4 linked regions of the Lytechinus pictus genome follow. Each later gene encodes a partner of the first gene's protein in a complex. Links are inferred from orthologs where the notes say so. Each region holds a gene or a part of one and is shown in the gene's direction. Other genes may lie near its edges.

Region 1 (7,776 bases):
GGACCAAGTTTTTTTTTTTTACTCTGATGTTGAGTCAAGTTTTTGCTATTGCTCATTTAGCAAGTGAAGTTTTTTCAAACTTCCAGCCCCCTTCCCTGGATATCTCTAATGGTGCGTCCCTAACAAATATGAACACCCTTTCCTACCCACATCTCCTTCATTGACAACTTGGATATTTTGGAAACATCCACTTGAGAAAATCCCCCTAATCGACTGGTGGGCATTACGCTCCAGTGGTTTTGTAAACAACTTGATACATACTGTATGAAGGAGATCTTGTCAGATGATAAATCCAATCAGCATCGAGTACCGTGAATGGAAATTAGAGGGAACAATTCTCATTGGTCAATTCCAAGCAGGGAGGACAGGGCTTCGCCAAAATTTACGAGCTAGCTCCAACTTACGGTGCCACATGTCAGAGGGTCAGAATGAAGAGTTTTTTCTCCCCTGATTTTTTCCATCATCCCACATTTTCACACACAAACATCCACACATGTGATCTGTTAGCAAAGTTGGGAAAAGAAGCAACCAATCTCGCAAAGCGTGAAAACTCCAATGTTAATTTCGGTCATTTGCTTTCTCTTGCCTTTTATTTTCGCTTGTGTTAATATAACTTTTAGGCCTGCATGGGAGTACACATTGATTGGTCGAATGGTTTAAATGGCGTGCCCGCCAATCAATCAGCAAAATTTACACTAAAGTGAATGTTCGGCAGATCCCGATTATGACGTTGGGATTATAGCTCAGATACCCAAGTAATAATAACAAAATGACAAGAAAACAATGATGACAACAGTTTTTTTATACTTGATACAGGTTTAAAAATGATGCTACCGAGGTAATTTTTGAAAAATTAGCAATGATTGTATCACATTCACAGTTACACAACAACACGAAAGAGCTCCGAAAATGTTAATCCCACTCGATCTTGCCCTCGATACACAAAATAAGTCATTGTCTGCGTGCTCAAAACAGAAAGTAAACACACAACCATCTCACTTGAGCTGATTGGACCTTCGGCTTCGAAAGCCAATGAAACCTTCGGGGAAACAGAAAAAGCCACGTGGTTCCCTTATCAGGAAAGGTCGTGACTTCAGAAATAAATTGACCCCTCCCCCATGAGGGAGAGAGAGAGAGAGAGAAAGGTAGGGGGTGTGAGCCGGAGAATTCCTTTCAAATTTCAAACAATGCAACCTTTTTTATATCCCCCTCACACAATCAAAAGACATTCCAACACGCGCCGCCTTCATCAGTACTTTCTTGGTTAGTCTAAAAAAATAGACCCAGTTATACATGTAGGTTCAAATGATAAAAATTTGTAATTTTGAAAGGTATTTCAAATGAAATATTTTGCAAAATATTTTTTTTGAAATACATGTGTAGCATCGTGGGCAGTGCCACAAGTGGGGGTGGGGACATGGTGTGGGCAAGGAATGAATTTTTTTCAAGTGAAATGCTCCACCTGTGTGTCAGTCTCAAATAATACTTCATGAATGAGTTGTTAAAAGAGAACGAGAGAACTTAGTTGATTCAAGATAACTTGAATGAAGCAGAGTGGAAGAGAGGAGAAAAACAATTCGAGAACGTTTCTGAGTGATGGTAAATTACCAATTATCTCTGAAATATTCTCTATATGGTATTTTCATTGATGATTATATGACACCGAGGCTGTTACTTCAACATTTAATTCCTATTTTCATGATTAACAAAAAAAAGCAACAACGAAACAACCAACAAGAAACAACGACTTCATACCAAAAAAAATCAGACCTTTCTTACATTTTCCGTCAGAACTGATCAAATTTTAAATACCCTCAGATGAAAGTTGGCATCATTCCACGAGGTTTACTCTCTACTCTCTTTTTTTTCATAACTCCCTCCGTCCCCTTCTCTCTCACCTTCTCTCTAACTCTCTGTGCGGATCGGATTGGGGAAAGTGTCTGCGTTGGCGTATTTATTACATGAGCTCCGATGCTCCCTCTCCCCCTCCCTCTCCCTCTCTCTAGTGGACAGCCAGGCGTTGGCTTGCGATGACGTATTAACAACATTATAAGTGCACGGCATTTAAGTGCTGTTAGGGCGGGGATCCATTCTAACGCTGGTAGTGATACCAACCAGCTGGGTTATGTCGGCATAGAACTATCGTAAATCACTGCCTCGCTTGACAGTGAGACCCAGACTCCCAAGGGATGAATACGATATGTGAGTAGTGCTTGGAATGCATGGGGTCAGCTAAGGACAATCAGGTCAGCTAAGGACAATATGGGTCTGTTTATTGTGCTTGATAAACAAATAGCAAAATCCGATATTTGCTGCCGATATTTTCGACCGATACCGATCATAGGGATAAGTATGTGCCCCCGATCATCCGATCCGATCAGAGCTCTCACTTACAGGGTTATGCCAAGCATCCTACAAAATCTTCTTAGACAGTCCACGGGTGTGTCGTTGAAGAGAAATCCAGTCATCTTCATTGAGGGATTTTGATAAATAACGCACAAAATGTAATTTGTCAAGGTAGAACATGGAATACAATGTTTGTTAATTCAAAAGATTTCATGTAGCCTGAGTGATTTTTAATTAGATTAAATGAGGTGATCCCCCAATTTTTTTAAAGGGAGGGGATTGAAGACATATTGCACAATATAACATTTTAATAGAATTGGGGGCTTTGAATATTTAAATTTGTATTAGATATAAAACTTGTCCAGAAATAAGCATTTAATGTCAACTTTCTCACTAATGTCTATACTGCTATTTCTCATTTTAACACCACTTGTATGCTAATGCTCAGTAATCCATTTCTTTGCACCCATGGACCAATCACCCTTAAAACTTATTCTCATCTGCTTCTTGGCTTTCACCATCACTTCATGCATGCTTCACAATCATCCTTTGCTGTCATCCTGTATGCACATCTCCCACACCTCATCTTGCTTTTACAATGTAATCTCTCTTTTTTGGTCTTGTCTTGAAATGCTTCACACATCACAATTTCCAAAAAATTCTTATTCACAAGCAGTGCTTGCTCCTCAGGAATTAAATCATCCATCCCCGTTCCCCAGAGTTACTTGAATTAACTAAAGTTCAAGTGCTAGATTACAGAAGGAAAAATGGTCAAGATGAGTGTGCCCGATGGTTACATTCTATTTATTTGAGCAAATGGGGGCGAGCGTCGCGTAACGTTGGGGAAGTACAATAAGAAACAAGATGGCGGCGTAAACATCGGGCAAGTCTCTTCCGTCTTTTCACAATATTTTTCTCATTTCGTTGATGAATTCTTGTTTAAAAATAACGAGAGCGTAGAAATGTCGGAAATGAAGTTTTATACATGATTTATGGCTAGATGTTTTAGAAGGAAAGTAGAAATCTCGGGGGCGAAAGTTTCAGGGTTTTTTGCGGTACACGCAGATGAATAGGAAGGACTCATTGGCGGCGGAAGCAAAATTTTAGGGGGACTTAGGAAAAAAAATTGACAAGCAAAAAAAAAAAAAAAAAAAAAAAAAAGGTTAGGCCTAGCCTAGGGCCTACCGTATCAACAAAAAATTATTTTAGGGGGGGTCCGTCCCCCCACCTAAAATTTAGGGGGGACACGTCCCCCACGCTTCCGCCGCCTATGGAAGGACTCCCTGGCTTCATTTAGAGTAAGCCTACGTTAGTAAATGATTTTAACTCTCAAGAAGCCGCCTGGCTAAGGCCTAGCTAGGCCATGGCTAAATCAATGCGATGGAGCTCCTGGACTCGGGCTGGAGTTAGCCCGCCCCGGCCCCGGTCCCCAGCCGCGCAGCGGCCGTAAGTAAGTGCAAAAGCCTCAGCTCGCGCTCGCAGCCGATAGAATCTCAGTCTCAGACTCAGTCTAACGTTACTACTCTCATCTCAAGATCATTCATTTCTCTATTACTATACGTACCGAGCCATTTAAACAGATAACTTCAACCAACATTTAGCAGATGATTTATCATTTGACACAAAACACCTCGATCTATCCCTAAGAAATTCCGCATAATTTTCTTCGTTCTTGCTAGCAGCTGCCTGAGCTGAGCTGAACCGATTAATGAGGTCGCCGACGTGTTAACATCATACGTGTACTTTACAAGAAATTTGGCAATCAATGCCAATATTTTTTTTTCATTTACTGATTGTTACTTTTTTTATTCCATTGTAGAATAGTAAAAAATATAAATATGCAAATTTTGTATTTTTTTAATACTAAATTGGGTTTTTTTATTTTAAAGGTGATTTTTATTTCTTATTTCACTTTCAGATCTTACGATTTCAATGCTGCCAATTTGTATTGACAAATTTGTCAAGATGGCTTTAGACGCTGTGAGAATTAGAACTTGCGTTCAGGAAATCGTCAAACATGACTTACAGATCAATTCATATGCTCAGGTAAGTTCACGTACTAAAATCAATCGTTGATTTCTACGATTATTTGATGAAAATTATATTTTATCCCTAATTTTCTACATCGTACAATTAAGTTTATAATATTGCTATGCGATTCTGTGCGACTGTTTTTTAAACAGTCCCACATACCCAGCTCTGCGCTAGTAACTCTCCGAAGAATTGACAATGTCACTACTCACGTTAATTATGCGTGTCTATGTATGTTAGTGTTACAGTCTTGTAGTAGAGTCAGGTATTGTATTACCGGACACTGCACTATTATGATTCTGGACGCGCATATTACTGTGTACGAAAACAATTTCGTCCCGCAAGATTTACGCAGTTCAATTTCACAGAGCAATTGACATTTGATTTTGATTTGTTAATGTTAGAATTAAGTTATAATATAAGTAAGTTAGATTGAGAACAAGATTGCAAAAAAGCCAAAAACATTAATGGCGAAAAAATCAAATATTATCTTTTAAATTAAATGACAGAAAATGCTTAAAATATCATATGTCAAAGTTTTGCATTAACAATTGATATATTTTCTGGTGGAAATATGGGCATGATTTGCTGAATTTCAATCTTGTCCGCTCCTTCGATCGAATTGTGGTGTGGTGTATTGTGGGTGATCTTCGATGGCTAGCTAGTTCTCAAGGTACCCGTGTGCGAGGTTTACCGACGATCGACAGTGCATGATGTGCATCGATAGAACTTGATGAGTGTCACAATACGAACAAGCATAATATCGGAAAGTGCCATGCAGTTAAAAAGAACAAAAAAAATCAAATTAGTTAGCAAACGCAAATTTATTACCAACATCTGCTCAGATTCGATATAAAAAAAGCAAACAAAAACTAAGAATTTACTCATGATATGATATATGAAGAAAAAATCACACAAATTCTTTCTTACATCATTCTAATCAAGAATACTGACAAGAGTTCCATATGCACCCCTCACTAAAAAAGTAAAATTGAAAATAAAAACATGGAGAAGGTTCAGAATAATATATCTAGCCCTAATATAGAACATATATGATGGGGGAGTGGAAATACATACCAAATTTTTGGTTTATTCTGTCAAATTTCGAGCAGGATCTAGTGTGTGTAATTGTCCATAGACATCATTGGTTTATTTAGTCAGTAAAGGGTCTGTGAGTCAAGACTAGTTGAACTATTGGCTGATAATCATTAAAATACCCCTTCCGGTATCAGCACTTCTCGCCAGCATAGCGGGAAGAGGTCTTGACTGCAGATAAAACGAGGTGAGTTCGAGTCCCTACTAAGGTAAGCAGCAGTAAAAAAAATGATAGAAAAATCTGAAGTGAACGAACCGGAAGTCTCAACAATCTTTTGTTATTTTTGGTGGGGGTGCATATGGAATTCTTTCCAGAATATCTTTACCCATCCTACGCAGGCTTGGTCCTACGTACACACGTCCGGAATCATGATGTAATTTGTCGCATAAATAATTGTTTTTCGTGGAGGGGTATGCGGCAAGTGCGATGCAAAGAAAACAGTTGGTAAATATAAAATAATTTCATCATATGCATAATTTTCATAATATTTGGAATAGCATTTTTGTGCAAATTTTTCTTGATTGTATTTCCTCTAGTTGTCATTTTTAAAGCACTGAAATAAAGTTGTCCGGCAATAGGATACATTGCCATACTTGTAACTTAGATTCCCTTCCTCCGAGGTGTGGAGATCGGTGGAGAACCGCAGTTTGTTGAGATTTTGAAGCTTCTAATTGGGCCTGTCCGGTCGATGATGCTGGACAAGGACAGGTGAATAGTTCACGACAACCAGTAGGCCTACAGTACTTTAGTACTAGAGCTGGCGCACGGCCAATATTGGAGACTCTCTCCAATATGAAAGACAATCTTCCATATTCAATATGATATTGCAGACTTGCTTTTCAAAAGAACAAACGAAACACCACCAAAACGTGTAATTTTTCCACCCAAAATTTTGTCTCCCTGAGTCTGAGGTCAGAAGCCAATTTGTTTTGTGTGTGGATGACAACAAAAATCCTCATCAAAACAACAGTAGACTGAATTTTTTAAAGTAGACGGTGAAAAGGGGTAATTTTTCATGAGGAATCTGCTTGTCATATTTTTATTTGCCGCCAAGGTAATCCTTTTGCAGCAAATGTAAACATGAATCTTATCTTAAAGATACATGATATTTATCGGCCAATACAATTTACAAGTATTTTTTAAATCTAAGTTAGCACTGCTCATGATATTTTCGCCCTCTATACGCTTCTTGTAGCTAGGCTACGATAACAAAGACGGCAAGGTGGCTACAATAACAGACTGAGTAAACGCTCCTCTACTTTTAATATTTTGATTCATTATATATGTGTAATATTAGTTAAAGATATAACTATTTTGCGCCAACAGGATTCAAATGATATTGTAGCCCATTTCCATAAGTTTGGGCTCAAAAGCCTAAAGAAACAAGTATTTTGGAACAACATTATTGTCTCCAAAATACTTGGTGCGCGTAGAGCAATGGCATCCCGTCCCTGGCTCCGTGGAGATTAAGCACGTCAGTGATATGACATTAATCTCCAGGAGCCTCCTGGCTAGGTAGGCCTAGCTTGCCAGGAGGCTCCTAGAGAGTAAAAACAATGTACTAACGTATGCTTACTCTCCACTGAGTCAGGGATTGCGTCTCATTCATGTGCGTGTACCGCGAAAAAAATGAAACTTTTGCCCTTAGATTTCTACTTTCCTTCTAAAAGATCTAGCCCTAAATCATGTAAATGGGATACAACTTCATTTCCGACATTTCTACGATATTGATATCATTTTTGAACAAGAATTCATTTAAAAAATGAGAAAAATATGAAAAGACGGGGAAAACTTGCCACAATGTTTATGTCGCCATCTTGTTTTCTTTGTTTTTTTCCAAGGCTACAGCACACATATTGCGATATGCGTGCTGTAGCCTTGGCGAAAAACATGTTGGCCGGTGCAAAACTGCATTAGTGCCGAACTCTGTACAGTCCAAGTGGAATTCATATAGGGTCTATACCCTGGCCATGAATAATCTTAAATGTTTTTGGATCATTTTCTACTCTATTCCTCAGAAACAGAATCAGACCTCCTTAAAAAATCGATAGACCAAATTCAACCCTGGGCTTAACACTTTACCCTACCCTAAACCTAACATAAAATCCTATTGCAACTCTAACCTTGCAGTTGCATCTTAGACGAAATTAAGCCCGGAGCAATTTTCACAGGAGCAAATGTTGTGCCACCATTATAATTATTCTTTTTATTTCAGGAGCTGAGGAGTAATTGCAAGACCATGGAGATTCTAGACAATATCAATGTGAAAATCAAAGCAGAGACTGCCATATGTAAACAAAGAA
Region 2 (7,849 bases), on another chromosome or scaffold:
CCCAATAGAATTACCAGCAAAATATAAAAGACATGTGCCATAATTAATTATAGCTCGGGAAGAAAATGTGTAATTGCTGAGAAATGAGCAAAATAAGCATGTAATTCTATCCAATGTCAGGTATTTTTCAAATCAATCATAATACACTGTCCTGTCCCACATGTTCTTTTCTGTGTTAGTGATCATCAAAATAATTAATTTTAAGTTCAAAATTAGTGATTTTACAAAAATACAAGCTTACATTAATGTACCAGATCTAGAGATTATGTACAATATTTTGACAATTTCTCATGAAATAATTGTTTGCTGCAACTGCTGTCTTTTTAATACGTTTAAGTGATAGTGTAATACAACCACAAACTTTTCTTAAGAATTAATGTACATGTATGATTCTTTCACCCAAATTTACATGCATTGATACTGTTGACTACTTGCCAAAAGTTCCTGCTAAAAGCCTTTTTTAACGATGTACATGCTTTTATAGACGACCTGCCAAAACATTGTATTGTATTATATTCAAGGTCCAACCAAAAAGAGATGAATAAAATGTTTGAAGGAAATTGAAATTAACTTTAAAAATGATAGAGCTCTGTCAATGCAGTATTATTACAGGGTTCCCACAGTCATGGAAAATCCTGGAAAAAAATTGGTCATGGAAAGTCAGGGATATGTGAAAAGTCATGGAATTGCATTTACCTCTTGGCTATGACAGCTTTCTAGTTTTTTATGTCTCACAACTCTCATACTCTGTGATTATACTCTACTATTATAATTGGTGTTCATGATCATAACATGTCTGATTTTGTAAACTGTGCCAGAAAGGAATTAAGTCATGGAAAGCAGCAATTTAGTCATGGAGAGGTCATGGAATTCTGTTTTCAAATTTCTGTGGGAACCATGAATAGGTTTGTGCACTTGACACAGTGTGCACTACAGATGAACTTTGTAATGCCATGATATAAACCAGTACAATATCTTAAAGGAAAATAAAAACCAAAATATAATACCACATGATACCATTGATAAATACAGGACAATGAAAATGAATCCACTCATATACCCCCAATCCGATGTCCCAGTATGGAGTACCACCTTTTCAAAGTTGGCATCTTCTGGTACAAAGTCTATGGATGGGGATTATTCCGTCAGCGACGAACTACATCTCTAAACGTTTGGGCATTAAATATTCTATTTCATCGATAATAAATCAAATGTACAGATAAAACTCATAAAATATTAATTAAAATTTGTTTAATATTATATGATAGGTTCAAATTACGACTTGATGAGTTTTAATGATAAAAATTACACCCTAATCTACGATTTACAAATTGGCAGCGGAAATTGGGGTGTAAATCTTATCATTAAAACTCATCAAATTGTATTTTGAACCTACCATATATTAAACAAATTTTAACTAATATTTTTATGAGTTTTATCTGTACATTTGATTTGTTATTGATAAAATAGAATATATAATGCCTAAACGTTTAGAGATGTAGTTCGTCGCTGATGTAATAATTTCCTAACTAACCCCGCGAAAATGGCGACCTCCATCCAGAAACTTCGAACCATACTGTAAGAGGCCAACTTTGAAAAGGTGGTACTCCGTAATTGGATTAGGGTATGAGTGGATTCATGTTGATTGTCCTGTATTTATCAATAATATCATGTGATATTATGTTTTGGGTGTTATTTTCCTTTAATTCAGATATTACATGCCAGGGTATTGTCCTAGTTTTCATTTTCTCCAAATACATATTATCATCTCTCGTCTATTTCTACTTGCCCTTCAGCCTTGAAGTAAACTTGGGATAATTATGCATTTTGTTATACGCAATTTTGAGTACAGTGCACTTTGCCGCAGCTACTTATATGATATTACCTATTGTAGACACATCCTTATGTTTTGTTCATTTTCTTAAAAACGATTAAGAGTTTAATCATTTTTGTCTTTAAGCATAAAACAAAGAGTAAATCAGTCCATTCTGTATGTGTGACCTGCAAAAAAACTACAATGGTCGTTAATTTGGTTTGCTGAAAAGCCAGATAACCTTTGAGGTAACTTTTTAAAGTATTTAGAAGAAATGTATCTGTTTTAAAAGTATTTATATGCACTGTAACTAATTTCTTTGATAGTTACTATTATGTTACACTGTTTGTACAGTAAAGCAGCTGTTACACAATTTTTGTCAATATCAAATCTAAACCAGTATTGTAAATTGATGACTCTATGAGCTAAATACCAGTACTTTCTATATCACTTGTAAAATCATTTGTTGTCTGTTCATTGAAGGTGTTGTATTTTCTTAATCTTATAAAAGTACATAGGGTCATGAACACATTCTACTGCTACCAAAATCATACCCATGATCTGTGATGTATCTAACCAGTTACCACACACATTGCAACACACCAGTTGCAACATACATTATCATGCATCAGTTATCACACATCTAGTTACCACACACATTTTGGGTAATGACTCTGATGCATGGTATTATGTGTATTATGTACAATATGTGTGGTAACTGGTTAGTGTTTACCACACACCATTTACCACACGAATTACCTCATATTTTACCACACACCAGTTACCACATGCATTACCACACACCAGTTACGTAACTGGTGTGTGGTAGTGTATGTGGTAACGTGTGTGGTAAATCGTGTGTAGTAATGCATGTGGTAACCGGTGTGTGGTAAAATGTGACGTAATTTGTGTGGTAAGGCATGTGGTAAAATATGAGGTAATTTGTGTGTGGTAACCCGTGTGGTAACCGGTGTGTGGTAAAATGTGAGGTAATTTGTGTGGTAAGGCGTGTGGTAAAATATGAGGTAATTCGTGTGGTAAATGATGTGTGGTAACGCGTGTGGTAACTGGTGTGCGGTAAAATGTGAGGTAATTTGTGTGGTAAATGGTGTGTGGTAATGCATGTCGTAACTGGTGTGTGGTAAATGGTGTGGTAAATGTCGTGTGATAATCTATGTGGTAAATGGTATGTGGTAAAAATTGTTACCATAAATTAATCCCTTGTGTGGTAAATGTTACCATATATTAATCCATTCATGTGGTATTCCTGTGGTAATGTTGTGTGGTAAATGTTCCAATTTACCACAGGACAATACCACACGACATTACCACACATTACCACACAATACCACAGGACATAAAGACATAGCATTACCACACAACAATATATGTGGTAATCGTGTGGTACAGTCCTATGGTAATTATATGGTATTACCACAGGACATTTTTGTAAGGGGTCCCTGTTATATAGGCCCTATATAATCGATTAAAAATCTTGATCACCACCAGCATGACTATGGTCCAACCATGGTCCCAGCTAGCAAGCTGACGTTGGTTGGGCCAATGCGGGGTGCCGATGTCGGCCACATTCGGCGAATATCGGATTCCATAGACCAATGAAAATTAGAATACTACGTACGTACGTAATAATACTGCGTACGTACGTAATAATACTGCGTACGTACGTAATAATTATCACGTACGTACGTAATAATACTGCGTACGTACGTGATAATACTGCGTACGTACGTAATAATTATCACGTACGTACGCAATAATACTGCGTACGTACGTAATAATTATCACGTACGTACGTAATAATACTACGTACGTACGTGATAATTTTTTTTTTTTGGTTGTCAAAAATGTCCGGTTTGAGGCTTCGTAGTTCTCGAATCAAAGTTAAAGGAAAATGAAACCCTTGAAACCAGCTGAATCCATATCAAAGAGAAAAATCAAAGAAACACATTGTTGAAAGTTTGAGGAAGATTGAATGAACAATAAGAAAGTTATGAGCATTTGAATATTGAGATCACTAATGCCATGTAGATCCTCCCATTGGCAATGCGACCAAGATCTGTGATGTCACACACGTACAACTCCCTCATTACTTTAGTACATATTTCACTTATATTCTCACTTTTATAGAGTCTGTCACAAGGTGAGGTGTTCTCTTTATGAGAGGACAAGTACAGAGGTTTCACAACATTATATCATTGATGAATCGTTTGTCATATGATTAGAATGAGCAAAAAGAGATGTTTTGGGGTATATTTTCAGTGTCCAAAAGGGGAGAGTTGTTCATCAGTGACATCTAGATCTTGGTCGCATTGCCAATGGGAGGATCTACATGGCATTAGTGATCTCAATATTCAAATGCTCATAACTTTCTTATTATTCATTCAATCTTCCTCAAACCTTCAACAATGTGTTTCTTTGATTTATCTCTTTGATATGGATTCAGCTGATTTCAAGGGTTTCATTCTCCTTTAACTTTTGTGAGAAAGAAACTGGGCATTGAATCAACGTTGCGGTCGGTGCTAATCTACGTGGAATTGAAAACGTAAACACAAATATCGGCAGCTTGAAATTAACTCACTATTTTCCCTGAAATAATGTCTGACTGGGACTGGGGATCGAAGAAAACAGGTAAATATTTTGAAATTACTGGACTGATTTATTCAACTCTATTTACTTTATTGCTTAACAAATAAGTTAATGGAAATCTTTCCTTTATTTTCTTGAAACTCTTCAAACAGTACTGCAACGTGTCCCACACGTACAATTTTGTGTTTGTAAACTCTTCATAATCAACACCAGTTTTCTCACTCGTTGACAGATCGATTCCTCATTCCAACTCTTTTCTATATCATATGTAACAAATTATAGAATAAAGTGCTCAAATATAGGACACTTAAGCATGATTGGACCAAAACAAAAATATAGGCCTAATCATTGAAATATTGAATCAAATGAAATTAATCATGTCTATTTGTGGTTGAAAACTTTAGTAGCCTAGTTTTATTTTTTTGTAAAAATCAAATTTTGAAAAAATGTGGTAGGCCTAAATGGAAATTATTCACTTATACTACCAGAAGCTTTTTTTTGGCCAAATACAAGAAGTGTAAAGTTGTGCGCCGCGATCAATTTTGGCAATTTAAACTGCGCTCTAGGCCCTAAAGACTAAACCCCAAAATAATCGCTTGATTGTTGAGAAAACATTTTTTATTTCAGCTGCGCAAATGCCGATTTTGAATTATTTCTATTAATAATTTTGATGTAGAAATCTGTAAATGATAATTATTTACTTTCCATATGGACCTCTTTCGGCTCTAAATATCGGACGTCTTCGCTTAGCTCCGGGTGGCTTCGTTCTGAAATGCGAGCGTGGGCGTGTGAACAGCACGCTTTCCAGTGCAATCGGACGAGATGTCCGATATTTGGGAGGGTGTTGAATTTCCCGCCGTGTGGAAACCCGCGATGGCCATTGCAGATCTTTTTGCGATAGATTGAATATGTGTCATATTGGTGGCGATATTTCCTGCGAAAATCACTTCCCCCTTACAAGATTTTTTTTGGTCATTGATCTTTTGGAGTTAAAAATTAGTGAGGGTCATAAGAATCTTAACCCCTGGAATAGCTTTTCTGAGCAGCAACCTGGATCTATTGTGTGTGCAGTTCAACAGTACATGTATCACATGTATGCAAGTCCCCCGCCAGTGTGGATCCCTGTAGTTGAAGTCTTTTTCGTCCAATATTTGGACACTACTCATTACTCAAGTCATTTACCGGCCAAATCATGGTTTTTGGAACCACTCGTTGATTTGTGCATGTGCACGTGTGTACAAAGTAAATGGAGGTGGAAAATAGGGAACCATGCGTTGTGACTGAACTATAAAGCGCTGCTGTACGAAGTAAACGGTGGTTCCCAATTTCACGATAATGACCATTTACCCAGTCTGTCCAAATCAGGAAGAAGTAGATTGAATTTGCAATTCAATATTGGGCCTGAGGCTTTTTAAGCTAATCACTCAGTCTTGGATTTAACCCACTTATTTATTGAACAAGGTTATGATATAACAAGGTTAAACTGTTATGATAAAACCTTGTTCTCTGTTGGGACTGTTAGGACTCATCCGTTTTTGTCCGCATGATTTTAGTCGCCAACTTCAGTCCATTTCAAACTTGTAAAAGATTTTACCCGTCCCTATTGACCTGTGTGTGAATTAATTCCTTGTTATTTTTTTTTAATAGGTGGACAAAACAACCACGGTGGTAAAATGAGTACGGAGGACATGCTTGAAGCCGAAAATGACCGAATGACACTCGGTCTAGCAGCTAAGGTCTCAACATTGAAATCTGTGAGTAGTCTATGGGTTCATAATCACTTAGGTCTGAGTGGGCGCGTCGTGGTCTAGTGGTTCTGACTCTCGCCTTTCAAACAGAGGGTTGTGGGTTCGAATCCTAGCCATGGCGTGTTTTCCTTCAGCAAGAAATTTATCCACATTGTGCTGTGCTCGACCCAGGTGAGGTAAATGGGTATCAGCAGCAAGTAATTCCTCAAAAAGCTGTGCGCACCAGAATCGGTAGACCAGTTTAACCGGGGTAATATAGGAGCGCCTTGAGCACCTAGCAAGGTGGATACGTGCGCTATACAAATCCTATATTATTATTGTTATCAGATAATCTTATAACATATGGGCTGAATGCATTTGGTCCAATATCAAATTGAATCGCTATTTGTCTTACAGTACACTATCTAATACCATTTAGTCTAATCTAATTCTTGTGTAGTTAAATGCACAGAGGGCCCAATTTCCACTTGACATTAAGGTCGTTGGTCACATAGGTCGTTGGATGCCAGAAAAGTCCTTTTCTTTAATATTTTTTTATGAATCATTTGATCAATCAGCTTTGGCAGACTGGCAGTGATACACTCAACTACAACTATGGAAAGCCAGCAGCATCAACAACTAAAATGCATGTTTGTTCAAAATATTTTCCAGATATGACGTATTCATCTTCACGCTTTCATATGTTTTTTGGCAATTCATCATGCTCTACGTATACAAAAGGCCAATGTTTTGAATTTATCAGCTTATTTGGCACTTTACCTTTCAAAACTGTAAGAATAATATCGTAAATAGTTTTCTTTACCAGTCATGCATGGATACAGAACACGGTATACATAAAAAAGGATGCAATCAATGTAAACAAAATCTTGACATTTTTTGCTTTTCATAATTTAACACCAACTTCAACCATGGTTTTAGTTAAACCAGACTTCAGAATAATGACCTTTACCTTTTTTCTTGTTTTCTTTCAGCTTGCCAAGGATATGGAGAATGACACAAATGACCAAAATGTTTATCTTGATGGAATGGTAAGACAAGAGATATGTTTGATCTGGAAGGGGGGGGTAGAGTTAGGGACAGTCACCAAAGACACATCCATGACCAGGGGGGTGTTTCACAAAGTATGACTAAAGTCGCACTTAAATGCTGACGCGTGCATGATATGCAACGCGCGATCTTATTGATAGATACACAGTAGTGCGCATCCTCTTGTCATGATCTGACCAATGCGGTCAAGCCTTTTATACTGTACGCAACTCGGTATTATGTATATGTGACTTTAACTCACGCTTAAATCTTTGTGAAACACCCCCCATATTTAGGTATCATTTTTTTAATATGATACACATTATTAAGTGAAAAAAGTCCTTGAGCTGGGCTATATCAGTTTATACTTGTTTAGGGGGGTAAAAGGAATACAGAAAGTATTCGGAAGTAAATTATGTAAATAGAGTATTAATTTGGCAAGTTCAGAAGTAGAACACACCTAGAGAGGTTTAGAAGCATGTGGTGGCCATTAAAGACAGATTTCCTTGTAGACTGGTGGCTGCTACCTGGCCCTGGGAAATGGGGATGCTAGGGGTGCTGAATAACCCCCAAGATTTTCCTACGGGGTGTTGCATGTGTTATTTTCCATAGGCAGCACCTCCTGAAACTCTGGAAGGTGTGACCCAGATGACCT
Region 3 (7,849 bases), on another chromosome or scaffold:
TCAAAATAGTTGTATTAGTATTCTTTCAATTAATGTTAACCTCAAATAAAATGATATGTTCCATTCACATTTTCAGAAAATGAGTAAAATGCAATTTGTTCCACAATCGGATCGCGAACAGTCGTAAGGTGTGCGGTGGCCTTTACATATATGCTTACATTTTATTTTATGTTCAACCCTTTAATTCCCCATATTTGGTATTAAGTGAAATGTAATTAACTTGATAATTGCTGAAACTGGATTGAGCCTATATTAAATTCAAATGGACTAACTAGTTAAAGATAATCCCACAGACTCTATGAACCTACAAAGAGTTGATAAATGTATTTATTTTCATTCCGATATAATACAAATGGACTGAATATATATCTACAGTGTATGTGTTTTTCAGTGACCTCACTAAATCTTTAACTCCAGTTTACAAAGTTTCTATGGGTTCTTCTTTAGAATGAAAGATAGTCACATACTAAATGGAAAATTCCAGAGCCTGAATGTAGGCCCCAAAAGTCCTCCATACAATCAACAAACATGTACTATGTTCAGTTTTTATGATTATTTAATATACAATTGGCAAAAAATACTTCATATAATAAAATACTTTATATAATAAGGTACATTAACAGTAAATTAAGACATGTTCAGCTTGACATAATCTACTTGTTTGATTTGTCATGTGCAACTAAACATCTTAATATAACGACCCAAGAATTAAAAAAAGGGGGGAAATGAAGAAAGAATGTGTATTGACCTTTCACAGAATGATCCTTGACAGGAAAAACTGGAACACGCTCCAGACACGACGCAGCCATCTTCCTGGCTTCAAGATGCATTTCTTTGAGTGCTTTCAGGATGGTGGGAAAGATTGCATCTTTGGTTGTGGTCTGCTGGGCTCTGGCGACTATGTACTCCCAGGGAGTGATGACCTTAGACAGCATAGGCAGCGTGACCTTGATCAGATCATCGTCAAGAGGGGTCTTGGGGTCAAAGAACTGTAATATGAAGTCATCATGAATATTCATAAGATTGATGCATTGTTCAGTGAATACCATATGAGATTTTGAGAAAGAAGAAGTTCATTTCCTGATTATGAGATGAAAGGTCAAATCTATCAATCAGTTCTTTTACAACAGAATCATTAAAGGATTATAATGAGTAGAGTAAATGATGCTTATACCAGATCCGCAGAACATTTATTTCTGGGCCTATTTTTATAAAACTAATGTTTAGTAGATGATGTTACGATTCAATGAAAAAAATGACATTGACCAATCAAATGGCATCTTCAGTAACATTAAGCAGTACCTTTAACTTTATCATTCAATCAGGATTCTCATTTCATCTTTAATGATGAAAGGGATAGTGTTTGCAAAGTGCTAAAGCTAAACAGACATCCAGATGTATTATGATTTTGTTCCGATTGAACTTTTTGCTAACATTTAATGTAGATCTACAGGGCATTTGAATATCACACATAATTTCTTAATCAGTTGTTATTGAAAACTTACGAGACAAAGCAACAAATATTTCAAGACTTTATTGTAATTAATCAATTAGTAACAAAAAGCAGAATAAACTTTCAAAAACAGATTGAACAATCATATTACTTGCATTTCATAGAAAATCTTAAAATACTTTAAGCCCTATTTTGATACCATCATCACACCTTACGGAAATTAAAGTAAGTTAATTCAACATCCTGTATTAAAATGGTACCGTATTAAAAAAAAATCCCCTGTAGTATAATTTCCAGTCACCTTTGAAGTTGATGCTTCTGCCTTTGGAACATCTTTGCTGTTTGAGGTTATCACTGATGCATCGCCACTCTGATCAACGACCTTACGACCCGACCCTGGGGGTCTTCCTCTACCCCGCCCCCTTGGTTTATAAGGATAGTGGTAGGTAATTATAGCTGGTTTCGGCCGTTCTGGTTCTGGTTCTGCTTGTTTGTTTTCTTGGGATGTCTCTTCTGAAGAACTTGGCTTATCATCTTCGGGCTTGGGACTGGGAGATTGGTTCCCATTAGGTTTCTCGGCTGCCTCACTCGGGGATTCAGCTGCCTCGTTTGTCTCGGCTGCCTCACTCGGGATTTCAGCTGCCTCGTTTGGTGTCTCCTCCTTTGTTCTACAAGAAAATAAATATAAAACGAATTAAAAATACACCTTTGTTTTCATTATTTTTTCTCAACTGAACTCTTGCTTTGAGAATTATATGATGGTAAAAGTTGAAAAAATAAAAGGCTTTTTGAATAAAAAATTTGAAAGGTGAAATCAAGAAAAATTTCACAAATTCAAATAATAACCCCCCCCTCCTCTCTTTTCCTAGAACTGATGATTTAAACTTTAAAACAAGTTATGTTGTACAATGTACAGAGACTATTTAAAAAAAAAAAGACTCCTACTCTTTGTCACTTTGTTTCTCATCAGTCTCCATCTCCATCTGTGGGTCTTCATCTTCCGTCTTTGCAAACACGGCATCAGGATCTCCATGTGTCTGGTTGTCTCTGTAGTGTCTGGCCAGTCCGCCTCTTCCAATGTACCGCTTCTCACAGTTCTGGCATTTATACCTCCTCTTCTGATCATAGAAGCTAAGTGTCGAGGTTGCATTTTCACCATCATCATAATCCGAGTATTCTCCATCAGAGGAACCTGGCTGGTCTCCCATCTCTTCATTGGACATGGTTTTGTACTCCTTGATTCTATACAGTGGAGGCCTGGACACTCGTCCAGATCGAGTCTTGCAGTTGGCCGGTCTCTTCTGTCTCATGAGATGCAAGTCCTGCGAGGACGGCACTGCTGGAGCCATTCCCTTGGCCGCTGCTTTTCCACCACCTCGACCAACTTTTTTCTTTACTCCCAAGACTATGGCTGGCTTAGGACTCGGAGAGGATTTGACCGATGTTGAAGTGGGTGAAAAAGTTGTTTTTGTGGTTGTTGGAGTGCTATTACTGGGGAGCCTGTTGGACAGGATGGTACCGGGTGGGAAAGTTCTGACGGGTGTTTGCTGCTTGTTAGTTGCATTAGTTACTACTTTCATCATCGGAATAGTGCTTCCCTGTTTCTGACTTGTGGACAAGATGGGAGCAGAAACTGGAGTCGTGGTTGAAACTGGAACTTTAATAAGAGCTGGAGCCTTAGCTGGTGTTGAAGATGAAGCAGGTGGAGGAGCTGGGGCTGGAGTTGGTTTTGATGACTGGGTGGTCACAGTGGCTGGAGCATCTGGAACGCGAACAATGGTGATTGGTTGACCAGGATTCTTTGCCAAGAGGGCCTGCACTTCTGGGGTATTCACAATATTCGATATAAGCGTTTGGCTGAGAGCCCCTGTCCCTGGAGGGGTTCGAACAGTGATTGTTACCGGTGAAGGGGTTGAAGGTGCTACTCTCAGAGTTGGAACGCTTGTGATTGGAGCCGTCTGTTGCTGTGAGATGGCTTGAATGAGGCCAGGGGTATTCAGCAGAGATGTTCCAAGGCCAATATTACTAGAAGCAGAACCTGTCAACAAACTATTTCCATTCACAAGTAATGATGTATTTTGAGCTGATCTTGCCAAATTCAAAGATATTGGATTGGCCGCAGGTGCAGCTACTACAGAAGTGGGAGTGGTTCCTACAGCTGATGCAGAAGCAGTTTCCAGGATGTTTAATGCATCTTTATTTTTTGAGTTTTCGGTGAGAGAACAATCGCTGCCTGAATCGATCATGGTTGCAATGGACCCAAGTAAAGAACTTGCTGCAATATCTGATAAGACATTATTCGATGATGAAGACATGGCTGAATCATGATCCCCAGAAAGAGCAGAAGATTCGGTGTCAATTTTGGAAGATTCAGAATCAATTTGGCCAGTCAAACAATCAGCTTGTGATTCAATTGATCCATCAATCAGCCCATTGTCATTAGATGACGTGCTGTCAGCAATCAACATTTGATTCTGATCTCCAACGACGGGGAATCCATCTCCTGGTTCGGCTTCAGGAATGACAGTTTCAGAAACTTGTTTATCATCATGATCATCTTCTTCTAACAAGCCGCTACCCGCGGCTCCATCGGTGTTTGCGTCTGTCTCTCCTGCCGCGGCAGAGAAATTTATTTCATCTTCCTGTCCAGATTCATCCATCTTTGAGAGAGCCTCGGACAAAAGATCGGGTGTTTTTCCTTCCTTTGTTCCTGGAGAGCTTTTACCGATAAAGCCTTGCTGTTTTACATTATCCTGTGTGTCGGAATCGGGATCAGAATGGGTTATTTCTCCAATAATTGCATCCTCCGCGTCCGCCATGTCAAAGCTGCCCTCAACAAAAGTAAACCCTGCGAGATATATATATAAAGGAGACCCTGCGCAGTCGTTCTCAGTTAATTAAGAAGTTATTGTACCAAGAAGTACCGTAGCGTCTGAAATAGAATAGTATAAAACGACTGGTAATAGTCTAGGCACTTGATTGAGGTCACCTGATTGTGTTGTATTCATTAACGTTGTAAAAAGTTACGGATCGGGAGTCGGAGAGTTACACTTGGTCGGACTGAGGAGAAAGGATCATATTCTTCTGGATCTGTGTTAAATAAAACGTCCAAAATGTCATCGGAGCGATTTGAAAGGATTGAAGATGACTATAGAACTCTCTGCGACACAGTCAAGTACAAACTTGAAGCAAGAATTCCGAATTCATCTGGTGGTAAGTCACACACACACCCATCCACATTCATTTGAATTTTGATTGACTGAAAATGTGAAATGAATGATTTTGAATGACTGTCTTTTTTGTGAGTTAGAAGTTAGCATTGTTTGTAACAGACACTGGTGACTGAAGTCTATCTAACGTTAGACTAATCTAACTTTAAACTTAAGAATTGTATTGATCGACGTCCACTTAAGTTGAACTTGAAGTTGAAATTTTATTTCAGCTTTGCATGATCATGATGATGTAAACCAATTCATTAAGGAGTTGGATTTCTAAATTAATATTAATGCTTTCTCTCAAAGAACCTGTAATGGGGTGACCATAATTTGCGCACATTTCAGAAGTGATCCTGAAGTTGATTTTCAATCAAAAATATCTCACAGTTCACCCAAAATTAATCAAAATCATAAAAACTAAACAAGCCAATATCCCAAAGTCAAAATTCACTTGAAGTAGGTCAAGGGTTTTGCTGGTAGATCTAAAAATTCCATGGCGATCGACTAGTGCGCTCGGCTGAAAAGTTTCATAAAAAGTGTGACCTTAATTTGCGCAGGATCAGGATCATTTTGCAAAGCTTTAGAAAAGAAATCAAGCAGACAAAGGTAAAATAATTGTATCAGATGGAGGTTAAAATGCGATAGATTAGGTTGGTATCACATTTTACTTCCTTATTTTGGAGACTTTTGCTCACAAACTGGCGATTTCTTGTAACTTATCGAGAAGGTCAGATTTTCTCGGAGCAGACGCAAAAGGTAACAAAATTTGACAATGTTTTGCCAATATTTTCACAAATTGAGACCTTACCTTCAAGAAAATTACAATACTGAGGAGACTCTAATATGTTAATGTAATTTGGGTCGCTTTTTTCTTTTGGAGATATCAGTTTTTCAAGATATTAATTAGATATTGAGATATTCGACCGTGCGCAAAATTAGGTAACGCGCAAATTAAGGTCACACCACCATACCTGTTCTATGTTCAAGTTAATTTTTTAGTTTCGTTATTCATTCTTGTATTTTTTACTAGGCTGTTTCTCTGTAATACCTGTTAATTAAGCAGAGGCAGAACATAGATGCCAAATTGAAGTAGGATGTTGTGTCATCAACAAACATTGACAGAGTTTCATTAATTAATAAAGATGGACATTAGTCTAGACTCTTAACGTATGTGAAGGGCCGGAGGGGAGATTTTTCTTTCTTTTTATACTCTTCATACTTTATGCTGTTGAGCTTTTTCTACCTAAATTTTTGCTTTTCTCTCTTAGTCTTACTGTATGTCACTATTTGCAAAACCAATGTAGGAGCATTTGGGGTATTTGTTCAGATTTCAGATTGGCATGGGTAGAGCTAGACAGCTGGCAGCCGTCTGTTTTGAGGAGTTTTTTAACATTTTTTTATTTTTTAAATTTCTCCTCGTACACAGACGGCTCGCTATCGTGCAGCCACCATTAGGGGACTTGCAATGCAAAATCCCCCCGTAGGGGCTCTTCAATTTTTGTCTTTAATGAATAAAAATTTTGAAAATTAATGCGACCAAAATGCAAATTAATATTCCCTCCTGGCATTAAATGCCAAAAAACAGAGAAAAATCAACTTAAAAGGAACAAAAACAGTGACTTACCTCGGCTGTCGCGCAAATTCACTTCCCCGTTTTATCCGATCTTAAGTACATAAACATATGGCCATTGAGTCCCCTGTACAGATCGCGCTAGAACTTCAGTCTCTGTATTTGGTGAGTGAAGCCAACGGAGTTCAGCTGAACAATAACAGAGACCGAAGCTTTTGGTCTAGGGTAGAGCATGCATGGACATAGAAAATTTTCATCTGGATTGTACATGTTCAGGGACCTTTTCCAAATGTGATTTGAATATGTTGACAGTTTGACTGTTCTCTGTAATACCTGTTAAGCAGAGGCAAAAACATAGATGCCAAATTGAAGTAGGATGCTGTGTCATCAACAAACATTGACAGAGTTTCATTAATTGATAAAGATGGACATTAATCTAGACTCTAACAGTCAGTCCGCAAGCCCCTGTGTTAATGAGCAAATGAGCAAGATTTATCCAAGTCCTCTCGTGGCTGAATTCATGTCCCTGCAAAATCTCGTGAATTGTGAGACTTTCTATCTCAAAGAATTTAACCACTTTCTCCTTGAGTAATATTGATTATTTTTGTACCATGGGCAAGAGTAAATGTTACCCTTTTATATTGGTCATTTCTTTTGAATGAAATATTTTGATAAATAAGTGAATTTTTTACCTGAAAAGATGCATCAAACATAATTTTCTTCCTCTGTTTTCACTTGCAAATTGTGCAACATTTTGTGTTTTAGGCACCAACATTATTTATATCATCAGAAAGCTCAAACTCTATACTTTCTTACAATGTCACTCTTGATATGTGGCATCTTTTAGATGGGTCAGCAGCCAGTTATTTCCATCAAGATGTAAGACGAGATTTCTGAAATTTCTGAGTAACATAAAATCCAGAGTTCTGATTGGCTGAATACTGTTTTCAAAACAAACAGGCGCGGGTAATTTGAAGAGATTACCACATGGTGAGTGTGACCTTGCAGAGGCCCAGTGTGGGGAACATTGGAATTTGCGTGGGTGTGTGGTCTATGACCAATCAGAGCGCAGTATTCTTGTTTTTGAGCTGCAAAATGTACTTGGCCTATGAAAAGCTGGCTGCTGACCCATCTAAAACACATCTTCTTATAAAAATTATATCATATTAAAGCTTAGATCTTCAGCTTTATCATGATTTAAAAATCATTTGTGCCTAAACAGAAATTAAGTGTGAAAACAACAACTTTTGTTGCATGAAAAAAAATATTTTGTTTCATTTTTTAGATCCAAATTTTTCCCTATATTACAACATTCTTTTAAAAATCCAAACACATGACCTAAAAGAATGATTCTTCTTCTTTACAAAGATACCAAAAACATGAAATTTGGTCAATATTTAGAGCAGCAATGGCCGAATAAAAAGAGGTGTTTTGGTTCGCACCAAGCTCATTAACTATGCAAAAACCCTCTTGTCATGAATATCACTTGGATAAAAGAAGCTACTTTTTCAGGGCTTGCGGACTGACTGCTAATGTATGTGAAGGGTCGGAGGGGAGATTTTTCTTTCTTTTCATACTCTTCATACTTTATGCTTTTTAGCAAACTTAAGC
Region 4 (8,402 bases), on another chromosome or scaffold:
TCATTGGCTCTCACATTTGCATATCACTGAGTTGTGCATATAACTGTTTTGTGAAAAATAATTAAGCGAAACTTTAAAATGTCATAACTTTCTTTTTTTACGGCAACCGATTTCGATGAAATTTTCAGCATCGACGGTGCTTGTTTGATTTTTATCTGTTTATTCAAATCATGATCTTTCTGGGGTGGACTTGACCTTTAAGGATATAACCACAAATTCCTGATAATTAAGTGCATGGCCTCTGGGATAGTTGTCCCCACCACTTGTCATAATACTCAGTTGCCATGTTGCAATTAGAAATTTACATACTTTTACTAACTTTGAGATCTCGGTTCTTTTTGCTTTGTCTGATTTATTTCTTTCTGTTGTACTTATTTTTCTCTCTCTCACAAAATGTTTTGACCAAGGGTATAGATTCCCTTAAAATCTGAAGAGAAAAAAAATCACTGCTATTGTGTCCAACTTCATAGGAACATTTAGCCAAGTTCAACTCCGGGGTTAAATTATCCAGGTTATATACCAGTACCAATGAAATCTATCGATTTGGAAGAGCAAATCACAACTGTGAAAATATAGTGGACTAGTTGCCCATAATGAAAAGGGTGATTATTGAGCCCAAGACTGGCAGTGGTTTATAGTGGGCTGAAGATGCCTATTGAACCACCGTTTGGAATGCTATATACTCCGGGATGCTACTGTTGATATACATGTACAAAGGTTAAACAAATGAACAAAGAAACTTTAGTTATCATTTTGAGATCCCTTCCTCTGCACTTTGTGTCATTTATCACCCCCAGGTTTTGTGACATTTCTTGAAATTTTTCATGGGGGGGGGGTCTAGCTGCTCCCGGAAGAGAATTATATGACAAATGTAGATATTAACAAATTAACAGCGTCAAATGGGACCTGAGAATGCTTGGACTTTAGACTCAAAATTTAATTTAAATGTTCATCAATAAACGACAAGGCAGCAGTTTATTTGCTAGGTTTTAAGTGTCAGTGGGTATATTGTCCTTTTCTCTTGGACAATGATATAACAACCATTACTCCTCTCATCTAAACGGGCGGATCTGAATCATACAAACCTCCCTTTTGTGCCCGTAGTGCCTCCACCTGTTCAAAATGATGAATTGTAAAATAAACACTTGAATTTCAGAAAAGACATCCTGAAATAACAAAGTATGAACATTATCTACCATTGTTCTTTCTTGTGTTCTTTTATTAAATAATTAGAGATGTCATTGTATGACTATCATTGTCATGATTATCTCGGCTGCGCTGACATACCGGGGATCGGATGACATCCATTCCCGGATCCGTTTCACATCACATCTTCAACGCCCAAATTAAAACAGCACGCGCGCGATCACGAGATTCGGGGAATGGAAGTTGAGATTTGAGTATACCAGTCGAGAACGTAACCCGCTTATTCATTGTAAGTAAGAACAAACTGATTGCACTATGTCAATCAGAATTTACTATCGTCTCGGCTTTCTGTAGTTTCCATCTTTGGTACTGAGTTGAGTTTCATTATGTAAATGAAGATCAATTAAGATAAACTGGCCAGCTTGAATTGAGGGCTTGTTTGTGACTGTTTCTATACGTACCGTAACTGACATTGCTTTACAGGGGCATGACGGGGGAACTCCCCGCGAGGTAAGCAATCCATGCCCGTGGCATGGGGCGTTGCAAGAAAACCACCACAGTTGCGGGCCAAAAAGAGTGCACACGCCCTTGCCCTTATTCTAGAGTAGTCCTTGTTTGAATCTTGGTTGACTTTAATACTCTTTGATTCTCTTTTCAATCGGGGAGGGAGGGAGAGGTAAGAAACTAGGGCCAAGTGGAAACTTGAGTCAGTGACTCACTCACTGAGTGCAGTACTGCTTTTGTTTGAAATCGTTTACTGGTACATTTGGTACCGTATTCCTGACAATTCTTGGACGGGTAAAGGTTTTTGATAACTTCGTGATCTCAATGTAGATGATCATTATATTTACCTTGCCAAGTGCTAAAGAATATTCTTGCATTGATTTCATTTCATTTCATGACCTGCCGACGTCGGTCCCCTTTAGCTTTCGCCCTTTTAGTTTTTGGACAGTACCTTTAAATGGCCGGACAGCTGGCAAAACACGCACGCGCGCTCATTATGGACACTATTATTTTATGAAGTGCGACGAGCCGACGATGGAGCTAGCTAGGGTCTTAGACCAAAAGGTTCGGTCTCTGTTATGTTGGTTGTTCCACTGAACTCCGGTGGCCGTTGGCTCCACTCACCAAATACAGAGACCGAAGTTCTAGCTCGATCTGTACAGGGACTCAATGCCATATGTTTATGTATTAGTTCGGTAAACAAGGGAAGTGGGAGTTGCGCGACAGCCGATGTAAGTCGCTGTTTTTTCCTCTTTTAAGTTTATTTTCCTGTTTTGGTGCATTTCAGGCCAAAACAGAAAAATAATCTTTATTTTGGCACAGTTCTTTTCATATATTTTTATGAAATAAAGACAAAAATCGATGAGCCCCATCGGGGGACTTTGCATTCTTAACCCTCTAATGGTGGCTGCATGATGGTGAGCCGTCTGTGTACGAGGAGAAATAAAAAAAATTAAAATTGTAAAAAAAAATCCTCGAAACAGACGGCTACCAGCTGTCTAGGGTCTTCTTTGTTTTTAATTGAAATAAAGGGGTGGGTGAGCTTATTAATTGTTTGCTTTAGTTTTATTTAAATTATGATCTTAGTGATTCAAATTATAAAGGGGGGGCTTCATTGTTTGTTTTTATTTCATTTCTTATTGAATAAATTATTCATAGTGATTGAAGGGGGGGGGGGCTCTTTTTTGTTTTATTTATGATAATTTTTATTCTTAGTGATTAATGATAAAAGGGGAGAAACATGGCTTGTTAAATCCGTATTTTTTTTTTTTTAAATCTCATTCTTATAGAGATTGAATTCAATAATAGCATTGCTTTATTCTTTGTTGCTTTTTATCTTAATTTTTATTTCTATATTGTGATTGGAATGATAAAAGGACGAGGTGGGGCTTCTTGGTTGTTTATTTGTTTTCTAAATTATTTTTATTTAAGTGATTAAAATGGTAAAGGGGAGGGTAGGCATTTTTTTTTTTTAGTGATTAAAATGGTTAATGATTTTTATTTTTAGTGGTTAAAATGGTTGGTATAAGGGATGGTAGACAGGTCATTTTTTTACCGTTTTATTTATTTAAATTTTTATTCTTAGTGATTAAAATAACTTGAATTTATTAAATTAATTCTTTGTATTAAAATCATGAAGCCAAAATACAATACATTTATAGTTCTTTATTTACTTTTGTTTTGCTTATTTATTTTTGGATGAAGTCAAAATATTAATATACTACCATCATTTTTAATGTATGATATAGTGAATTAATTCTTTATTACAATACTGTTACAGAGCAAAAATGTCCATCAGGCGGATAAATTAATCCCTATTTTTTGTGGGGTGGGGGCATTTATGGTTTGGATTATGCCCATCCCCACTAAAACTGTATTTAATACATACATGTGCATCTGTAGTTTGCTGTTGGCGAGCTCTTCAATCTGGTCAATTCCAAGTTCCAGATTTTCATAGACATCATCATCATGTTACAAAGTGAGGTAATCCTTTTGACCTTGATCATGTTGATCACTTCATCTGGTGGAACAGTGGAAGTGAATGGATTTGCTGTATTCTTGTTTAGGTCTCATATCCTCGGTGTAGTAGACTCGTCTGACCTACAGCCTCAGGTCAAATAGTGAAGTGCGATAATTATTAATTACAGTACTTCCACCATCATTGTCTTTGTAGGATATGCAAACTACTTTGAATAAAGAAGACAATGAGAAGCCCAATTTTAATGCATTTAAAGAATCTTTTAGATTCCCTAGTACCGGTAATAATAATAACAAGAGAGAGGGAGAGATCAGTGATAAATATTATTCAAATTTTTGGGTTTTTTCACATAATTCAGGATGAATTTAAAATCTGCATTTCTTTCCAATAATATTGCTAGATCTGATATTTGCTTGTTTAGTTTCAGGCTTCTTTGCATCGTTCTTCATTCTCTTTAATATTTCTTACATTGTAGTAAAATGTGTTGTTATTTGTTAGAGTACTGTGCAAGAATATGTGCATGCTCGTCTTTTATTAAGATTGGATCAACCACTACTGGTATACTGTTTTTGGTATTCTCATTTTGAGTCTGTCTTAAAGCACCAGTCCACAGCCAGTAGCTAGATGCACAGAGAAATATGCAAGACAATTTCCAATATTGGCAACTTTTTGCAAAAAGGAAAGATAATTTCATTGAAATAAACAAAGTCAACAACAAGGTAATTTTTCATTCATTCCACCTGCTTGTAGGCTAAAGGAGAAAAGATGTTCTGTGGACTTTGCTTGACATTTATTGGGGATCTGTATTTCAAAACATGGTACAGTTTTACAGCTGAAGATAAGACCCAAATGTGAATAGTCATCATGCAGCCATATTTTGTAACAAATTTTATGAAGGATACAGTCGCTTTTTGATGCGGGCATCTCGTGTCAAGTAACAGTTAAAAAAAATAAAGGTTCTTTAAATTACATGTATTTGAAGACTTATGATATTGCACAGTGCAATTGAATACCTCTATCTCAAGTATATGAAACATTTGGATACCAGCAAAATTTCATGTGATCATTAATTCCTCTCAAGAATTAATGACCCAGGTGTTATTAGTTTGCTGCAAAAGTTATTTGTATGTAGTTTCACAGAGCTTTCATAGTGGACAAAGAAGCAACCCATTCAGTTTGTGATATGCTGGGTTGCTGTGCTGGTGTTAACCATTTTAAACCTCAGGGGTGAATACAAATCAATCTCTGTGGAATTATTTCATCCTGTTTTAGTTGATATGTGTAATTAAGAAAAAAGAAATGGCTCCAATTCCTATTCAGAAGCGTTCATATCTCTCCTACCTTTCAGAGTCCCCGGTTGATGGTCTTGATCACATCTACAGGAGACCATCTGACGGAGACAAGATGCCTATACTTTATGCAGTCATCGCTCGTGGCACCACGGTGCTTGCAAACTATGCAGCTTGCCAGGGAAACTTCACTGAGGTGACAGAGCAAGTACTGATGAAGATTCCTCCACAGAATGCCAAGTTGACGTACTCACATGGAGCATACCTCTTTCATTACGTCTCAGAGGAGAGGATTATATATATGTGCATCACAGATGATGTAAGTAGTACCCATTCAATATGAGAACCACTTGGTTTAGTTCCCATAGCCATAACCATAACCCATGTCCAAGAAGTTCAAGTTGTAGTTGGTCCCAAGATCTTGTTTTCTCAAGATGTCATACTCGTTTCTGAATCAACTTGACAAACTATTACATGTGACTGTTGAGTGATGACTTTGAGAGAAAATCTGTAATGTTTAGGTTAATTGTTACCACAACATAATGTAGGTTAATTGTTACAACATTGTTCAAACTTTTATTATTGTATCAATAAGAGTTCTGATACAAGCCAATATGAAATATTTAACCACCCTTTATTCTGAAGATGGCTAGCACATAACACTTTAGTGATAAAGAAGAAGCTCTGTCATTTGTAGAATACCATGTTTATTTTCTATCATGGTAATGATTTGGAACATTACATTCCTTGTAATTAAATATTTATTCTGAGAGTTTGTATAATGATTAAAATATTGATATATCACACAGTAAAATAAAAAAATATATAAATGCAGAAAATGGATTTGTGTGATTTTGTGTAGTAGTAGGATGATAAAATGCTGCTAAATTACCCTGAAAAGAAAATAAAAAGATTTATTTTGTATTATATACTTTTTATGGTTCAAATGATCATTTATTAATTGGTCATTGAATATTTTTCTTCTTTCCAGGACTATGAAAGGTCAAGAGCATTTGCATTTCTCCAGGAGATCAAAAAGAAGTGAGGGCTTGTTTCAAATATTATTTGCCTTTTTATAGAAAAATGTATTTTATGGACTTTATATCACATGACATGGAAGAGCTGATCACATGTGAGGTTACAAAGTCTGAACGTTGAATATCCCTATATTAATCGATATTTGCCAACCCTTCATTCATATGCTGCAATTACTTCTTGTTTGTTATTCAAACCCAATTCGGCATTAGAGAAATTCCCCCTATTGAAAAAAATAATTCTAAACTGTACTTGTAGTTTCTATAGCACAAGTCAGGCAATTGTTAACTTTTTTAAATGTACATTAGCGTCTTCACTGATTGAGATCAACAGTAAGCAAGAAATTCCTTTTGTAATTTGTAATACTTGAGTGGCTCAAGTTGGGCAAGACACTATTACCAACCATACATACTGTATATAGTTTGTGGGATTAAGAATGTGTTTAATACATGTACATGTATCAATCAGTAGCACACATGATATGATGTCTCTATGTGCCTTAAAGGACTAGGACATTATTACCCCAGTTTAAGAGCATGCAAGCTTTTTAAGGGGCTAATTCCTGCATGTAATTTGATATGAATACCCCCTTATTTTCTATAATTAAGACAATTGTGCCATAACTGTGATACCAATGAAATAAATATGATTAATGCATGATAAAGACACTCTCCAAAGTCCCAATACACCATTAAATAATTTGTAACATATTTTTTACTTGTGTAATGTATTGACTTTACCTTCAGTATAAGCTTCTTTCAAAATAGAAACTGAAACCAGATATCTTCAATATCATGATTTTTTTTAATGTCATTATTCCAACTTACAGATTCACAGCCACTTATGGGTCCAGAGTACACACAGCGCTTCCTTTTGCAATGAACAGTGAATTCTCTCGAGTATTAGCTGCACAAATTGTAAGTCTAGAAGTAAAAACTTGTCAACAATAGCAATTTGAAAATATTCAGTCTCGGTCAAAAGAGCAAAGAATGTAGGCTGGTCCCTAAAATATTTACATAGATAGTTGAAAGAACAAGAAATAAATGAAGAGATGCAAAGGAAAAAAAAGGCATTGAGTATGATGTTTGATTTAGGTATGAATGCAGATTGAAGATATCTTATAACAAAATAAGATATTATGAAGACATTGTCATTTTGACTGAATACCCTAGAGTGGAATTGCCCAAGTGGTAGTTTTACTTTCTGTTCATAAATTATCTAATTCTATCATTCAATTCTAAGAAATATATTTGATCCTATACAACCTGTAATATAATTTTGCATTGATCGACTGTTTATATTGTGTGGACTGTTTTAACTCTAGAGACTGCATTTATAGTTTGTTTAGAAGTGATAAGAGGGGGCATTGTCTAGATCATTTCTGATAATCATCCACTTGTGATTTTATGAATCTGTATAGTAGTGTAGCTGGTTTTTTATTAAAATGAAATCCAAGTTTAATGGGTCTATCACCAAGCCACCTGTACTTATTTGAATTTTCAATTGATAATGTAAAAATAAAAAATCATGAAAATGATCTAAAGGGATTAGAATGGTTTTAAATTTGATATTAATTGTATAAGCTAGTGCATCAAATCTGCAATATGGCAGGAAGCATGTCAGGGGTATATAGTTTTTATTTGATTTTATTCTATTTATTGTTTCACATTCCACAAAAACATCTTTATTAAATGAAAAAATAATGAAAATTACATTCACTTATTTACAAAGTAATAAGAATCTCATGAAAATGAAGAACGTATTAAAATCATAACTTGTAAAATATAGGTTCCCAATATATGCATTCATACATGTATCTCTAATTTTAGAATCTACAGTCTAATAATATTCGGTTGAAATATCAAAATGCATAAAACGGTTATTGTTGAGAATGTTATTTTGAACAACAGGATTCATTTGCTAAATTGACATATAATTTAACAAACATTTTATTTATTATTAGGATTTATCAGAGCTTAAATAATGCAGAATATAGATCAATTTATTACATTCTTTGACAGGGGAGATTGGGGTTATATTGAACATTTTGACCAAAATGGCTGTAAAATCCAAATAGATTTTATTCAAGAAACAATCTAAGGGCTACAAATGTACCTCATAAAATTCTTTAACTTTATGACGGTTACTGAAAAAAATCCACCTTGAACACAACCAACTCAAGTGTTCCAACTTCCCCATATATGGGGTAAGTTGGATTATGGTATGGGGTATTAAAGTTGGAACACTGCATGATCAGTTAAGAAACTGTACTTTGAACTATTTAACTATACCATACAATAACAATTAAACGACAGAACTGAATGAATGAAAAGGTAAATTATGCTAAGAACTAATGAACATTGTTGTCAAACATGAGATACAAACAAAGTGTGGTACCGTATCCAATAAAATGCACCTAACATGTAAAACAAAAATATATTGGGTAATTA

Evidence for each region.
Region 2: vesicle transport protein SEC20-like (region 1) and BET1-like protein share a complex: the UniProt entries of both Homo sapiens proteins name them as parts of the SNARE complex. The link is inferred for Lytechinus pictus from reciprocal best matches to the Homo sapiens genes BNIP1 and BET1L.
Region 3: vesicle transport protein SEC20-like (region 1) and vesicle transport through interaction with t-SNAREs homolog 1B-like share a complex: the UniProt entries of both Homo sapiens proteins name them as parts of the SNARE complex. The link is inferred for Lytechinus pictus from reciprocal best matches to the Homo sapiens genes BNIP1 and VTI1B.
Region 4: vesicle transport protein SEC20-like (region 1) and vesicle-associated membrane protein 7-like share a complex: the UniProt entries of both Homo sapiens proteins name them as parts of the SNARE complex. The link is inferred for Lytechinus pictus from reciprocal best matches to the Homo sapiens genes BNIP1 and VAMP7.

What each region holds. Positions count from the first base shown.
Region 1 is NC_087256.1:1,387,426-1,395,201, forward strand, and holds the start of vesicle transport protein SEC20-like, read left to right. Parts: upstream 1-4,285; 5' UTR 4,286-4,311; coding exon 4,312-4,392; intron 4,393-7,688; coding exon 7,689-7,776. Other genes in the region: ectonucleoside triphosphate diphosphohydrolase 4-like, read right to left, coding at 3,911-3,918. UniProt on the Homo sapiens protein: As part of a SNARE complex may be involved in endoplasmic reticulum membranes fusion and be required for the maintenance of endoplasmic reticulum organization. Also plays a role in apoptosis.
Region 2 is NC_087250.1:19,733,107-19,740,955, forward strand, and holds the start of BET1-like protein, read left to right. Parts: upstream 1-4,338; 5' UTR 4,339-4,428; coding exon 4,429-4,462; intron 4,463-6,067; coding exon 6,068-6,174; intron 6,175-7,139; coding exon 7,140-7,196; intron 7,197-7,849. UniProt on the Homo sapiens protein: Vesicle SNARE required for targeting and fusion of retrograde transport vesicles with the Golgi complex. Required for the integrity of the Golgi complex.
Region 3 is NC_087251.1:45,500,453-45,508,301, reverse strand, and holds the start of vesicle transport through interaction with t-SNAREs homolog 1B-like, read left to right. Parts: upstream 1-4,566; coding exon 4,567-4,666; intron 4,667-7,849. Other genes in the region: mucin-2-like, read right to left, coding at 749-989, 1,755-2,121, 2,399-4,272. UniProt on the Homo sapiens protein: V-SNARE that mediates vesicle transport pathways through interactions with t-SNAREs on the target membrane. These interactions are proposed to mediate aspects of the specificity of vesicle trafficking and to promote fusion of the lipid bilayers.
Region 4 is NW_026974140.1:15,218,522-15,226,923, forward strand, and holds the start of vesicle-associated membrane protein 7-like, read left to right. Parts: upstream 1-4,838; 5' UTR 4,839-4,927; coding exon 4,928-5,236; intron 5,237-5,908; coding exon 5,909-5,958; intron 5,959-6,781; coding exon 6,782-6,869; intron 6,870-8,402. UniProt on the Homo sapiens protein: Involved in the targeting and/or fusion of transport vesicles to their target membrane during transport of proteins from the early endosome to the lysosome. Required for heterotypic fusion of late endosomes with lysosomes and homotypic lysosomal fusion.